Diceros bicornis minor: one gene and its partner. The protein of the gene in region 1 interacts with the protein of each later gene in a pairwise test. Links are inferred from orthologs where the notes say so. Each region holds a gene or a part of one and is shown in the gene's direction. Other genes may lie near its edges.

What was found.
Region 2: the proteins of METTL21A (region 1) and FAM200C interact in binary tests that used the Homo sapiens proteins (3 or more experiments, as listed by UniProt). The two-hybrid records come from large-scale screens. The link is inferred for Diceros bicornis minor from reciprocal best matches to the Homo sapiens genes METTL21A and FAM200C.

The regions. Positions count from the first base shown.
Region 1 is NC_080749.1:84,488,030-84,496,127, reverse strand, and holds the start of METTL21A (protein N-lysine methyltransferase METTL21A), read left to right. Parts: upstream 1-4,853; 5' UTR 4,854-4,917; intron 4,918-5,220; exon of another isoform or gene 5,221-5,443; 5' UTR 5,444-5,476; coding exon 5,477-5,623; intron 5,624-7,256; coding exon 7,257-7,368; intron 7,369-8,098. UniProt on the Homo sapiens protein: Protein-lysine methyltransferase that selectively trimethylates residues in heat shock protein 70 (HSP70) family members. Contributes to the in vivo trimethylation of Lys residues in HSPA1 and HSPA8.
Region 2 is NC_080740.1:75,839,530-75,847,788, reverse strand, and holds the start of FAM200C (protein FAM200C), read left to right. Parts: upstream 1-5,105; 5' UTR 5,106-5,454; coding exon 5,455-5,489; intron 5,490-6,366; exon of another isoform or gene 6,367-6,444; intron 6,445-8,259. Other genes in the region: pre-mRNA-splicing factor SLU7, read left to right, coding at 844-948, 1,107-1,178, 1,293-1,406, 2,075-2,254.

The DNA.
Region 1 (8,098 bases):
CAGGTGAGGAGGCATGATGAGCCAGGTAGGCTCCACAACAGGATTTACTGAGAAGCTACCCTAGGCACCCACAGTAAAAACGTCTACTAATCTCTGAAATTTCCATCTCTTTCACACCTGTGTTCTGTCAGCTTCTGCAGAGTTTTACCACAGTAACACCACTAAATCTCAACGGCGACCTGCACAAAGGCTTGTTCCACAATTTTACAGGCCAGCTGTGGCTCTGCTCCACCTGGGGACCTGGGGTAGGGAGGTGGACATGCAGTTCCGGAGCAGAGGGCAAAGGGGCAGTGGCTCGGCTGTGCCCGGCCCTCAGGCTCCTGCCGGCAGATATCACCACCCCCACACTGCATCACGGCCACGCCCGACCTCCACAGGGCTCGGAGACATTCGCTCCTCGGGAAGGACACCAACGACAGGCCTGGAGCAGGTGGACTGGGCATTTCGAATAAAATAAAATAAGATAATCTACCACATACCCGACTTCTTTTGAGGATTAAAAATTTATTTTCAAGTAGTCACAGGGAACTACCGGCTGTTTTAGCTTATTTTGGTAAAAACAGAGCTCCACGTGACGTCTACCCTGCTATACAAGTTGCACATGCTCCTAAATATTCTTTTTGGTGCTGCCTGAGCCAACCGTACATCTAATTGTACCAACGAGAACATGGGTAAAGCTAAACAAGGCTCTTCATTACCACCGAGGAAAAGTGAGGGCAGCTTTCTGGATAAACTGTCAGTAAACACCACAAGGCAGATGTCCTGTTAGCGGAGAGCTGGGGGGGGGGGAAGTCCTGTTCTGTAGAGGCGCACACATGATTTCAGCAGAAACAACGGAGAACAGGGAGAAGGGGCCAGAATCTCTGAGCCAGGCTTTATGGAGGATGAGCCTGGATCTAGGGAGGTTTAGGAAATACTCAAGTTCATTCCAGTTCAAGTGTCAGAGGCAGAATTTAAATTTTCACACTTTCTCCAGCTCCAAAGCACTTACTTTGTCTTGTGCCCAGTACTGGCTCCCCAAAGGAAAGGGACAAAGAGAGGGAAAGAGAAAATAAGGAGAAGAGAGGTTAAAAAAAGGAAAGTTGAGAGGGAGAAACAGCAGAGGGCAGAGGAGGCAAGAGAGAAAGGAGACAGGAGAGGAAAAAGCAGAGGGAGAGAAGACCAACAAAGGAAAAATAATATTGAAGGAGAACAAAGTTGGAGGATTGACACTACCCAACTGTAAGACTTACTATGAAGCTACAGTAACTGAGACAGTGTGGTACTGGTGAAAAAATAGACAAAGAGACCAATGGAACAGAATAGAGAGCCAGGAAAGACACCCCCATAAATACAGTCAACTGATCTTTGACAAAGAAGAAAAGGCAATACAATGGAGCAAAGATAGTCTTTTCAACAAATGGTGCTGGAACAACTGGACATTCACATGCACAAAAATGAATCTACACAGAGACTTTGCACCCTTCACAAAAAATAACTCAAATGGGTCACAGACCTAAATGTAAAACAGAAAACTATAAAACTCTCGGAAGACAACATAGGAGAAAATCTAGATGACCTTGGTGTGATGACAATGTTTCAGATACAACAACAAAGGCACGATCCATGAAAGAAATAACTGATAAGCTGGAATTCATTAAAATAAAAAACTCCTGCTCTGTGAAAGACAGTATCAAGAGAATTAGAAGACAAGCCACAAACAGGAAGAAAATATTTGCAAAAGACGCTGTTATCCAAAATATACAAAGAACTCTTAAAATTCGACACTAAGAAAACAATCAGATTTAAAAATGGTCCAAACAACAGGCACATGAAAAGATGCTCAACATCACTAATCATCAGGGAAGTGCAAATCAGAACCACAATGAGATGTCACCTCACACCTGTAATGATAGCTATTGTCAAAAAGACAAGAGATAACAAATGCAGGTGAGGATGTGGAGAAAAGGGAACCCTTGAGCACTGTTGGTGGGAATGTAAACTGGTGCAACCACTATGGAAAAAAGTATGGAGTTTCCTCAAAAATTTAAAAATAAAATAGAATTATCATATGATCCAGTAATCCCACTTCTGGGTATATATCTGAAGGACATGAAATCACTATCTCAAAGAGCTATCTGCACCCCCGTGTTCACTGCAGCATTATTTACAATAGCCAAGACGTGGAAACAACCTAAGTTCCATTGACAGATGAATGGATGAAGAACACACAAAATGGAACATTATTCAGCCATAAAAAAGAAGGAAATTCTGCCCTTTGCGACAACATGGATGACCTTGAGGGTATTATGCTAAGTGAAATAAGTCAGACAAAGACAAATACTGTATGATCTCACTTATATGTGGAATCTAAAAAAATACAAAACCAAACTCATAGAAACAGAGAACAGATTGGTAATTACCAGAGGTGGAGGGTAGGGGTGGGGGAAACGGGTGAAGGGGGTCAAAAGGTACAAACTTCCAGTTATAAGTTCTGGGGATGTGATGTACAACATGGTGACTGTAGTTAACGATACTGTATTGTATATTTGAAATTTGCTAAGACAGATCTTAAAAGTTGTCATCACAAGGAAAAAAACTGTAACTACATGAGGTGATGGATGTTAACTTATAGCGATAATTATTTTGCAATATATACATATATCAAATCATTATGTTGTAGACAAACTCACACAATGTTATATGTCAATTATAATCTCAATAAAACTGGAAAAAAAAGGTGCGCAACATCATATGCCATTAGGAGATTACAAATTGAACCAACAGGCCTATTAGAAGGGCCAAAATCCAAAACACAGACAACACCAAATGCTGATGAGGATGTGGAGCAATGGGAAACTCTCATTCATCGCTGGTGGGAATGCAAACGGTACAGCCACTTTGGAAGACAATTTGGCAATATCTTAAGAAACTAAACATACTCTTACCATACGATCCAGCAATCATGGTCCTTGGTATGTACCCAAAGGAGTGGAAAACTTATGTCCACTCAAAAGCCTGCACAAGGATGTTTATAGGAGCTTTATTCATAATTGCCAAAACTTGGAAGCAACCACAATGTCCTTTAGTAGGTGAATGGATAAACTACGAAATCCACAAAATGGAATATTACTCAGCACTAAAAAGAAATGAGCTATCAAGCTGTGAAAAGACATGGAGGAAGCTTAAACGCTTATTACTAAGTGAAAGGAGCGAATCTGAAAATGCTATATACTGGATGACTCCGACTATATGATTCTGGAAAAGGCAAAACTATGGAGACAGTAAAAAGATCAGTGGTTGCTAGAGGTCACCGAGGAGGGAGGGATGAACACATGGAGCAGGAAGGATTTTTAGGGCAGTGAAACTACTCTGTACACTATGATGGTAGATACGTGTCATTACACATTTGTCCAAACTCATAGACTGTACAGCACCAAGAGTGAGCCCCAGTGCCAGCTATGGTCTTTAGACGACAGCGAGGTGTCAGTGTAGGGTCACTGATTGTAACAAACATACCACCTGGTGGGGGATGTTGACAGTGGGAGATGCTGTGCGTGTGTATGGGATAGGGTGGGGGTACACGGGAACTCGCTGTACCTTTTCCCCAATTTTGCTGTAAACTTTGCTCTCAAAAAATAAATTCTACTACATAAAAAATTAAAAACAATAAAAATAAACAAGCTGAGCAAAGCAAAAAAAAACAAAAACAAAATCAGTAAACGACCTTCACTGGTGACTTGCAAAGTTCACTTCAAGTCACCTTTGCAGCGGCCCGGCCTTCTGGAAGGCTGAGGAAATCCGGAAGGCGGGGACCCCCCTCAGGTGGGAGGTTAGGCCTTGCTGGCCTCCGGGCAGCTGCGCGCGAGGACCGGCAGGCCCCGGAGGGTCGGGGCGCCCCCCACCGCCGAGACTCTCTGGGGGTGCTAAGCCAGGCTGAGACTCTCCGTGAGGGCGCTGGGCCGGGCCGGGTCGGTCCGGGAGGACAAAGAGCGTCCCCGGGAGGAGCCGCTCTCCAGCGCCTGCGGCCCGGGACGGTGTCCCCAGGGCAGGGCGCCAACCTTCTGCGCGCCCCGGGGCGACCGGGGCCTCGGGTCGGCGGTCAGGGGCTGACCACGCGGCTTACCGGCCGCCGCGAGCTCCCCCGAGCGCCTGGTGGAGACGGGCCTTGTCCCTCGGGCTCTGCTGCCCCCCAGCGGGCCGCCGCACCGCGTCACTGCTCACTGGGGACGCGAGGACGTGGGGACCCGTGTGCCGGAGCGAGCTGTCTCCTCCGCCCCTAACTGGCCACCTTTAAACCTAAACACAAGCTGGCACGCGCGCTGAAAACCAAAGAAGAACGCGCGCGGGCACGGGAGCGTGTCCGGCGCCAGGTTGGGGCCACCCCGTCGCCGCAGCCCCGCGTCCTCGCGCCCCGCGCTCGGGGAGTACCTGTCCCGGCGGAGCGCGTCCCGGGCGGCCCCCACCCCTCCCCGCCTCTCCTTCCTCCCCTTCCTCCTCTTCCTCGCCCTCTGCCCCCTCCGCCTGCCCCGCCTCCCCGCTCGCGCCCTTCCAGGCGGCCGTGTCTGCCGCCTTCCCCCGGGCGGCCCCCTGCCCCCGCTCCTCCTCCCCTCCCTCGCTCCACTCTTCCTCCTCCTCTTCCTCCTTCTGCCCCGCTCCTCCCCTTCCTCCTCCTCTTCCTCCTTCTGCCCCGCTCCTCCCCTTCCTCCTCCCTCTCCCTCTTCCTCCTCCGCGGCCCCGCCTCCCCCCTCGGGCCCTTCCAGGCGGCTGTGTGCCTGGCCACCCTCGGGTCTCGGAGCTGTGCGCCCCGGCCAGGCCCCGCCGCGGGCCCTCGGGAGGGGGAAGCGGAGGGCACCCCGGGTGGGGGCCCTGTGGACGCCCCCGCATCTCCACGGCCCGCCGTCCCCGAGCTCCGGCCCGCGGGCAGGAACGCGCGCCGTGCGTCCTCGGGGAGGTGGGCGGCAGGCTTGGGGACCCGGCTCGGAGGGCGGGCAGAAGGGCCCGCGCGGGCCGCGCGCGTCCCGCTGCGTGCGGAGGCGGCCGTCAAACCGCTAACGCGCGGGGCGGGTTCGCGCGCGCTGTCGTCACCGCCGAGCGCACCGGTTAGAGGGCGGAGAGAAGACCGACACCAAGCGAGAAATACCCTGCGGGCTGCGGCGGCGTGGACGCGCCTCTCCGGGCTGGGCTCTGGTCCTCCTGGTTTGGTCCGCGGCACCGCCGGAGCGCGCAGGGCGTCCGCGGGGTGCTGCCCAGCGGGCTGCCCGGCCCGGAGACGACCCTCGGCGCGAATTCAGAGCCAGATCGCCCTTCCCAGAAGACTCGGGGTCAGCCGCGCAAAAGGAATTAGACAAAGGCTTCCCCCACCTCTCTGAACTTATAAAACGCCCTTAAAAGGAATTTGGAGCCACTTGAGGGACAGCGCGTTTTCTGGCCAGAGCGTCACCAGGGTTCTTTTGCCCAACAGGTTTGAGGAGGCAGAGAGCTGGGCGCGGGCGACATGGCCCTCGTGCCCTACGAGGAGACCGCGGCGGTGGGGCTGCAGAAGTTCCACAGGCCCCTGGCCACCTTCTCTTTTGCAAACCACACGATCCAGATCCGGCAGGACTGGAGGCACCTGGGAGTGGCGGCGGTGGTGTGGGACGCGGTAAGCAAGCCCGGGGGCCTCTGACAGCGTCTGCAGCTGGTTCTAAGACTAGCCTGTACTTTTTAAAATAAACAGCTGTCTTGAGATACAATTCATATACCATACATTTCACCTATTTAATGTGTACAATTTAGTGATTTTTTAAAGAATAATCAGAGTGGTGCAACCAGCACTATGCTCAATTTTAAACATTTTCATCACCTACCCCATCCAAAATAACTTCTACCCATTAGAATCATTTCCCTTTCCCCCTCCCCCATTGCTTTTTAAGGGTGAGTAACGGAAAGCAGAGGGGAGTTGAATGACTTGGGTCAGGGGTGGGTGAGGAGCAGCAGCCCCTAACAGCTTTGGACACTCATTTAGTTAATTTATTTTTTTTGGTGAGGAAGATCAGCCCTGAGCTAACCTCTGTTGCCAGTCCTTCTCATTTTGCTGAGGAAGACTGGCCCTGGGCTAACATCCGTGCCCATCTTCCTCTACTTTATATGGGACGCCGCCACATCATGGCTTGACAAGCGGTGCGTGTCTGGGCGCCGGGATAGGAACCTGCGAACCCCCGGTTGCGGAAGCCCAGCGCCGCACTTAACCGCTACGCCACCCAGTGGCCCCTAAGTTAATTCTTAAGTCAAAATTTTAAAATAGTGCACAAAGAATCTTTTAAAGTGACAAAACATGAAATGAAGATGGTGTATTTTCTTTGTTTCCCATAGTTGTGATGGTCACGGAATTATCCTTTTTATTCTTCTCCCAGCACAGTGACTTGCCCTCCACAGCTAGCACCACACCTGGGACTCAGTGGGAGCTCAGTTAGTGTTGGATAAATGACTGGCATGGATACAGTTTTACAGCCTGAACATTGTGTTAGGGATGTCAGAGAAATGTTTAGGAATAAAAATCTCCATATGTTCTAACCCAGTAATACCACTTCTAGGACTTTAGTCCAAGGTGACTACGTGACAAGTATTCCCGAAATGAATGATAAAGATAGCTGCTAGTGAGTAATGCTCACCAAGAAGAGGAATTGTAATTATACTTACAGCCTATGGCCATGAAAAGCACATTATAGTCAACAATTATGTTAACAGTACACAATGCCTTATAGAATTGTATTCGAGTGCTGGCTCAAACATCAAGTATCCAAAACTTTGGCCAAAACTCACCTTTTGACGCCCAGTAATGTCTGGTGAGGGCCCTGTGGGGTGGTCAGGGCTGCAGCTCCGGGGCCTGGGCGCTGCTCTGCATTTTCCCTCTGGGAGGTTGTGACCTGGCTGACCTGAGCTTGGGTGGGGACTCGACATTCCCTTAAACAAACTCTCAGAGACTGTTCAGTCAGCTCTGCAGAGTAGTTTTGTGAACCCCAAGTGTGAAAACGCTGTGACACAGTATCGGGACCCATCTCGTGTGGGCAGTGTCACTGACTGCTGCCGCCCCGTTAGGGACTTAGGGGGCCTCGGGGACCTGCGGTGGGGGCCAGGTGTCTGCGTGCTAGTGGAGTCCCTTGCGTGCTGTTGAGCTGGGAGCTGAGCCTTGCGGGGGGGTTTGTGTGTCCTCCCCGCAGAGCGTAGCCTGCTTGAAGCCCCCCAGCCCCTCCAGCATGTGCTGACCCTCATCACACTGCTGTGTTTTGACCCAGGCTGTTGTTCTTTCCACGTATCTGGAGATGGGAGCCGTGGAGCTCAGGGGCCGTGCTGTCGTGGAGCTGGGTGCTGGCGCGGGGCTGGTGGGCATAGTGGCTGCCCTGCTGGGTGAGTGTGACCTGCCGGCTCACTCCTGTGTGAGTGGACTCGTCGAGAGGGGCCTTGGCTGTTTCCATGGTGCAAATCCTTTGCCAGTTTCTCCCGTTCTGGATTACTTTCCTTTCTCCTGTACTTATGAGTTATGGGCTGACTGCTGGTGCTCTCAGCTCTGGGAGGGCTAATCTCTCTCTCTGTCACCCTGTAGTTCATACTTTTCGTGGGGCATTGCTTTGCCTCCTTCAATTCTCCGGTGCTGATAATAGGATCTGAAGGCAACCTTGAGTTCAAGGAGAGTTATCTTGTTCATGGACATAGTTGTTATGTCCAGGGCTCTCCCGTGCCCTCTGGCGCTTAACTGACAGGTGGGCAGAGCAGAGTCTCTTTGCTTCACTGCTGAGGAAACGGCTGGTATTTCTCTTCTGGGAAGGGTCGGCCCGGCTTCAGGTTGTACTGACATATTAAACAGTTTACAGTTTGAATTGATATCAAGGTTTGTCATTTTTTTGTTTGATATGCAGACACTGATTTAGGCCTAGAGCATTTTTAAGCTTCGTTTTTACTTTATTATTCATTCTTGACTCCTTTCTACAACTTCTGGCTTATACAGTTCAAGCCACCTGATGATAGGATAGACCAGCTGCTAAGATAGAATGTCCATAATGTTCATCACTTCAGTACTGTCACCTGGGGCTCTTCTGCTTCCGTGGAGCCAGGTCAGGCCCGAGAGCCTGCCTTTCTG
Region 2 (8,259 bases), on another chromosome or scaffold:
TTCCAAAAAATACGCAAAAATGTCTTTAACTAGCTGTTTGGTTTTGGTTATTTTTTGTTTTTGTTTTTGGTCAGAATCCAGTTGAAGTTTATTTTGATTGTTATTGGTTGTTATATCTCTTTTTTTCTAGAGTGTGTCTCTCCTTTTTCATGACAGTGACTGTTTAACAGATCAGGCCAGTTATCTTGTAAACTGTCTCATATTCTGTATTTGACTGGTTCCTAGTGATATCGTATAACTTATTCCTCTGTCCCTTGTATTTCCTATAAACAGGAATTCAGATCTAAAGGCTTGATTGAATATAAGTTAAATATTTTGACAAGAACACTTCACAGGTGATGCATTATACTTCATATTGCATCACCTCAAAAAGCATATAATGTCACCTGCTGTACTCTGATGCCCCCAGACAATTGTCTCTCCAAGTCAGGGATCAAAAACCTAACTACCTGTAGGAGCTAGGCCACTAATCGTATATGAATGAAGTGAGCCGGGCAAATTGTGTCGACTAGTGAAGACAAACCCTGTCTAATAGGGGCATCCACTCGTCAGCAACAGCCAATTATTGACAAGTGGGAATGTGGACCCAGAATTTCTGAGTCCTTCTAAATCTTTCAGGAGAAATCAGATATCCTAAATATTTCTTTTAGACCATTATAACTGTAATGCCTGCTTCTCACACTTGAGGTCAGGCCACCCTCTCCCTGTTAGGTAGCCCTAGAATCCTCATAATTTTCCTCCCAAATCACCTTTAAAAGGGCTGTATTATTTTATACTCTTAACAGTATATGAGAGTCCCTAGTTTCAGGTTCCTTTTTAAGTAACCTCTGTCTCTCTCTGCAGCATATCTGGGGATCTTACTGGAAAGAAGGCCGATGGGGATACAAATGCTGTCACTCTTTTTTCAAGTATTCCTATTGTACTGGAGAAGCTGGGAAGGAGATTGCTGTAAGTAATTGTCCTCTAGTTCTTACTGATGTAAAACAGCCAAAGCTCTTAAGTCAAAGTCTGGATGAAACATATCTTCTCATGTTTCAAGTTTTAATTTTTTCTTAGATGATTGGTAACTATGATACTCAAGTCAAATTACATTTATTTTCCCACAGAATTCAGAGGAATGTATTATAAATGATATCACTGGAGAAGAATCTGTGAAAAAACCTCAGACCCTCATGGAGGTAAGTCTATAATCATTTGTCCTAAATTTTTAAGTCCTGGAGGGAGGACTTTAAAACTTGCACTAGCGCTTTGTTTTTACATTAATAACACTATATTTGAATCCTCCCTGTCAGATTCACCAGGAAAAACTAAAAGAGGAGAAAAAGAAGAAAAAGAAGAAGAAGAAGCATCGAAAGAGCAGTTCAGATAGTGATGATGAAGAAAACAAACATGAAAAGTTAAAAAAGGTACTTTGTGAAGTCTAAATAAATATTAAAGTGACAACACTATTCTTTATTTGTAGGGACCTTAGGAAATTATCTGGTTCTGTCTCCAAGCTCATTTTAAAAATGAGGAAACGAGCTTGAGTCTGGGTGATTTGCTCAGGTCACATTGTATCCATCTGGTCTAGAATGCAAATGGAGATTTTGTGTGTCTTGGTATTGCCTGCTTCGTGGATTATTTGTTAAATATCACTAATGCACAGAAGAATTGTGCTTGTGAAAGCTGTTATTTTAGAGTTATTGACATGTTGCCCAGGAAGAATTGCCTTTTAACTCTATAATTTGTAAGTTTCAACAAGTCCTTGGGGAAAAATCAGAATTGCAGTCTCCACCAGAATTATCAGTTGCTGGCTTCTGTCAGTAAAATGGACCTCATTCAATTTTTGTTATTAAATAAAATTTCTTTCACATTGGAAATGTCATAGAATGTTTTGTACTCTATGAAAATATATGAGCCAAATAGTGAGTAGTTGTAGCTTGACAGTGGAAGGGCTAACTCCCAACTGTCTCAGGCAATCTAGGTTTTTGATGCGGCAATTTGTATTCAGTGAGGTCTTTTGGTACTCTGCCACTTTTGAACAAAAGAGATCTGATGTAGAGCCATGGTACTCATGTTTTTCCTCTCACTGTAGGCACTGAATGCAGAGGAGGCCCGCCTTCTTCATGTCAAGGAGATCATGCAGATTGATGAGAGGAAGCGGCCCTACAATAGCATATATGAAACTCGGGAACCCACGGAAGAGGAAATGGAGGCCTATAGAATGAAACGTCAGAGGCCAGATGACCCCATGGCCTCCTTCCTTGGACAGTAGTAACTAGTCATAGACAGTCACCCAAGATAGACGCTGCTGATAGATTCTTTTAGCTTCTTGCCAGTGATTATGGATGGGAAAATCTCTGTCTACTCTTCTTGCTGCCTGACTGTACAATAAAGCTTCCAGAAGTCTCATAGTAAATTCATTCCTTTCCACACAAAAGAAACAAAGAAGAAAAACAGTTATATTAATGCAGATTAAGATTTCATTTCCAATTTTATATTAGTTGTGTGGAAAGAGACCTTGTCTCTCTACCTATCAAGAATATCTTCCACTCAACATTTATGTCTCAAACTTTACTTCCTCAATTTTTATGGCGCTTTATCTAGTGTTAGCACACATCTTGAAGACAGATTAATTACTCTTTCTTAAAACCAGGGCTTCATTTTTTTTTTAATTGCTAGTAACTATAATTGTAGTTATTTGATAGTCATTTGTTTTTGCCTTCTAAGGGTTTCCTGGTCTGAAGCAAAAAAAATTATTCTATCTTGGGGTTTGGGTTACTGAAAGGAAATCTGTAGAACGTGTGAATAACTTTATCCCCAATGTCAATCTGTGTAGTAATAATTCTGTTTTCTACTTGGTTATAAAATTTTGATTTTTTAAATATTTCCCCATACCTTACACCCAGAACTAAATCTGTTAGCCTTGGAATGGAAAAATAACTTTTGTCTTCCTTGAGTCAGTGTTGATTGATCAGTACTCAGTGTTTTACCATTCTGGGCATGAGTCTTTAGATACAGAAATCCTTTCCTTTATCACAGAGGATATAGTTTCTGATACTGTTTGTTGTTTTGATTGTGATTGCCTTTATGTAACAATCAGGAATATTGGATTTTATAAGATTGTAGAATATCCATTGCACCTAATCTTTATAGCCAGCAGGTGTCACTTTGTAAAATTTGCAAAAAGACCTCAAATGGAAGGTTTCTTTGAAGAATTATAAGGATAGCTTATAGGGATATTAGTAACTGAGATTGCCATGATCTTCAGGCCTCTTCTAAGAACATTGTGAAGATAACACTGACAGTGAGAGTGGGATCAGTGAAACCTGTACATCGTACATTGACTTTCAACAGCTCACTGGCTTTTCTAAGCTACCAAAACCCACTAGGATACTGTCTTAAGTTAGCATCTCAGAAATAGTGCTCGTGGGAGAGTAAATGAGTCAAATTGTGAAGTATTATAGATATACGTGGTATCTAGATTCAGACTACTATGAAATTAAAACAGCCATGGAAATAGGTCTAATTCTTATCTACTTTAAGAATGTCACAAATTTATGTTTTCAGATTCCTACCATAACATAGGATGGTTCAACATAAAGTCTGACATTGGTGTCTATTTTGTATTTTATTTATCTTTTGTTAATAAAGACATAATTGAGAATTAACTGTGAGTGGTCTGTAGCATTATTTCAAATATTTGGCAGAAAAGTAGTTTATAGGACTGGCAGGGAGCCTAGGTTAGCTTCTGTGAGTTTGAACTAGAAAATTTCAGGATTCTTTAACTCGAAAAACGTGTCACCTAACCGTTCTGGGCTTCTTTTCTCTCTTTTGTGAAACCTAAGTTACTCTGATTTTAGGAAGAGTTCTGTAATATCTGAAATCATGTCTAATTTCTGTTTCATTTTGAAAAAAAGGTAACATCTAGAACATTACTCAAGATTTGAGCTTTGATTTTATTATCTCAATAATAGCTGCCGTTTGAGTGCTGGAACTATGTGCTGTAATTTTCGTATGTTATCTCCTCAAAAGAGCTTCATGGGGTGAGTAATGGACGATATTCGTATTTTACAATAAGCACATGGGCTTAAGAGTCCAGGTAACTTGTGTTGGGGCCCCGACATAAAGCCAAGTATCTCTGCCTCTAAAGCCTACTCCTTTCTCTGGTATTTAAGGCCCAGGTTTGTGGACCAGGAAGGCTGGTCTTTTGCCATTTCTTCCATTGACAGAAACCTTAAGCAGACTCTCCGTCTTCATCAGGTTCACCCACAACACCTGAAAATGTTGCACCTGACCAACGTTCTTGGACACTTGCCCCTCCCCCAGCCTTGTAGGATGTTTCTCACAAGAGTGACTATACAAACATGAATAAAATGTCATTTCATTAAGTTTATAAGAATTCTGGAGGAAAATATCCCCAAAATAGGAAAGAGGGCTATATTTGGGTTTGTTTCTTTCAATAATGTTTTCTAGTTTCTACTTTGGAGTTTTTCTGTAAACTCTCTCTAATATGGATTTATTACTATAAGATCCTGTTGTTAAAAAGAATTTTAAATAAAATTTAAAATCTCTCTAAGATGGAGGATGATTCTTAGGAAATTCATCCACATGCTGATTCATGGGAAGCAGGGGCAACCTGCATGGGGAAGCGGACGCAAGCTCATCCTCCACCGTTAATATCTGAATGGAATGTACAGCTTGTCCCATTTGCCTGAATGTTTAATTTGGGAGTAGAATGAGCTTCCTTCTCTTTTTCCTCATTGATTCCTCATAGAAAATGGTGATTATTGGAGCATTATAATCTCCAAGCAAAAAGCCTGACACAAAACTTTATTACCAGTGCTCTAAATGTTAAAGTGTAGAACTATGTGGACTTCACAATGCCTTCCATTCCTGAGAGTCTACGACTCATCGTTTCTGGCAGACACAACAAGCAAGTAATTCCCAGCTCCGCGTACAAAATCTAAAAAAAAAAAAAAAAAAAAAATTGGGGAGGGCCAGCGCGCATGCTCCGTACTCGAGCCGGCCGGGCTTCCAGCCTTTTGTTAATGCGCCTGCGTGCGGGGAGCCACCTCGCCCGGGCTGCGGGCGGGAAGCCGCCTGGAGAACCCGGATGGAGCCCCGGCGCGGCTTGGGCGGAGGTCGCTGCGGGCGCTACAGTCTTACCTTGCTCCCCACGTTCCTGCTCTGGGGTCGGACCTGAGGAACCGCTGCCTAGACTTGTTCTGGCGCCTACAGGCTAAGCCCCAACCTGAGCACGGAGCGAACTGGAGCCTGAAACGGGCGCCTAAAAGAAGCCTGAGCATCCCTTGGGCCTGCGCCCCTGGCTCGGCGACGGGCGGGTGGAGACGGAGCAGAGTCTTCTTTCCTCGCCGCCGGCGCCCTCCTCTCGCCCGGGCCTCCTGGTAAACGTTCCGTCCTTAATAATCCACCAACAGTCCTACCAGTTACGAGCTGGTGTTCTTTACATGCATGCTCATAATTAAACCTCCCAACAACCCTGTCAGGTAGGTACCATTGTCATCCCCAGTTGCCGAATTGATGCTTGGAAAGGTCCCAGCCTCTAAGTGACAAAGCCAGGATCTCAGGCGTTTGCCTCTGCTGCTGCAGTCCCGTCCGTTTTCTCCTGGCTATTGCTTTTTAACTGTAAAATGTAATGATTAAATCCTCTGCCTCCCCAGACACCGCACCTACCGTGGGCTGGCATAGGCGGTGGCTAGATGTAAGCTGAATTGCATTTGGTTTGGAGTTTAGGTTTACAACTGCACTTTTGTGTTGTCACTGCTGAAATAGATGTTTTAGCATTCTCCAAATATTTCTGTTATGGGAATGTTTACTTTTAACTGTTTTTGTCTCCCAATTGTGATCCTTTTTCATATCTACCCTTATACTTCAAAAACTTGCAAAAACATTTTACTTTGTTATATGAGATCGTTGTTCTATCAGATCTTTTATTCTGCATCTTAAGATCTCTCAACGAATTCAAAAGAATCATTCTAAAACCGAATTGTGTCTATCTTAATAAGATAATGCTTTTTATTTTACTGTTTATTATGGAAATTTTTCAGCGTACAGAAAAAAGTGAGAATGGTATATGAAATGTGTACCCATCATCCAGCTTCAACAGTGACAAGTCAAGGCCAATCTTATTTCTTCTGTCTCCGCCCCACTTTGTGTGTGTGTGTGTGTGTGTGTGTGTGTGTGTGCTGAAGTACAGTATTTCAAAGGAAATCCCAGACATCTTATCATTTCACTTGTAAATAAGTCTGTATCTCTAATAAATGAGAACTTTTTTTAACACAGCCATACCATTTTTCACACGTGTTTAGATTAACAATAATTCCTTAATAAGATGATGCTTTTTTTAATGTTTACATATTTTAGGATGTTGTGATTGCTAAATACCACAAAGGAGCAAGTGAAAATTGTGAGGTTCTAAAACACAAGAAAGCCTCTTGGGCGGTAAGTTCATCTTTGAGGATCTTGAAAATTCTTGCTGTCTGTTCTCCCTTTTGAGGGGGATGGAGAAGAAAACTATAAATGACTTTTTCTAAAAATTCTTTTGTTCAAAACAGGTAAATCTTCAATCAAAGTATACTTCAGTAGCATAGTCAAGATGGATAGGAATAGACTCTTAACTGGTCCTATAATGATTTCTAATGAGACTGAAACAAAGCTTTTTCCTTCACTCCCTCTCGCCCTCAAAATATACATGGTAAATTTACGTAACAGAATACAGAAAGATAAGCATGTTTGATGCTGATGTTATCATTTTATTGCTTTCAATTAGGAGAGATTCTAAACACAGTTGGCCCTATAGTCTCATCACTTGACAAAAGAAGGCTTAAGATCAACTCGTTAAACTTAAAATCGTCTTTGTTGATTGGCAGACATCTTCCCATTTTTTTAACTGGCTCCTAACAACCATATGGCAGATCAACTTATTAGGTACATAGTAGTACATTTTACAACTAGTTAATCTTGGCAGAGTGGCTAGAAAACTAGTGCTTTAAGTAAATATTCTTGGCTTGCTTATTGTGATTTTTTTTTTTTTATGGCTAAAGTGGGCGTTTGGGTTTAAATGTGCCCCTGTTATTTCAGCCACATTCTGTGGCATAGAACTTTGGAAACTTTGGGGATTACTTATTTATCTGGGAGATAGAATTGTTTTCTAAGGTGTATTGGAGCCTTCCTGTGGATTATACCTTTGCTCTTGCTAAGAAGGGAGGAAAAAAGGCATGCCTTTCTTTTTAGGTCCCTCAGCTTTCATGGGAGGTTGTCGTCAACTCAGAAAACTGAAATGCCTAGACTTTTTACTTAGCAACCTAGAATACCTGCAAGCGAGGGATTGGCCTGAAGGATATGTTTCATTCCTCTAAATCCCACTACTTACTAGAATATGTATCAGAATCACCTGGACAGCATTATTTTAGATTCTTTTGTCCTACTTCTGGAAAAGATGATTTATTACTTCTAAGGAAATACAGAGACGTGTACTTTCAAAGAGGTTCCCAGTGATTGTGATGGGCATCTTGTTAAAGATTACTGCTCTAGTTAGGATTCATAAGAATTATCTCAATTGCTTATTTAGAATACAGATTCTGGGCCCTTCACAGCTAGAGAATCAGAATATCTGGGCCCAGGAATCCGTATTTTAGCAAGAGAGTGAGATGATTCCTCCATTTACTAAACTAGAGAACCACTGCCTTCTACATCCTGTCCTTGGATTAAGCCAAATCTTAGGAATGCTGCTTATTTTCATTCCATTGTTTCAGCTTCTTTCTTGACTGCTTTTACTGAGGGGTAGTTATATGAAAAAGCATCCTGAAATTCCTATTGTAATTAAGGGTGTCCTATGAAAGAAATTTTTCTGAAGTCTTGGTAATAAGAATAGTTGTGTTTCCCCTGAGCAACTTGTTTTGCTTTTCTGTATGGACCGTATGAATCATGGACTGATGTGTGTTACACTTTAGCAGCAGGAAAGCTCTGAGCCAAATTTGTATCCTACTTCAGTGTCAAGGGTGGCTTAATCAGACCTGTTTGAATTTCTCAAGTTGGAGTCAAAGCTGTGCAAGGATCAAATAGTTTTATAGACCTGATTAATCCTTAACTAACAAAGAACTAGCCACCGTGTCCAACTCTGCCCTTCCGTATTTAGTGAATTACCCCCTTCTCTGTTCACTGGTGCATAACTTGGGGTGTGCATACCTTCTTGGCACAGGATGGAAGGAGGGTATGGTAGTGAGATGCCCTTTCTAGATACAAAATGTACCAGAT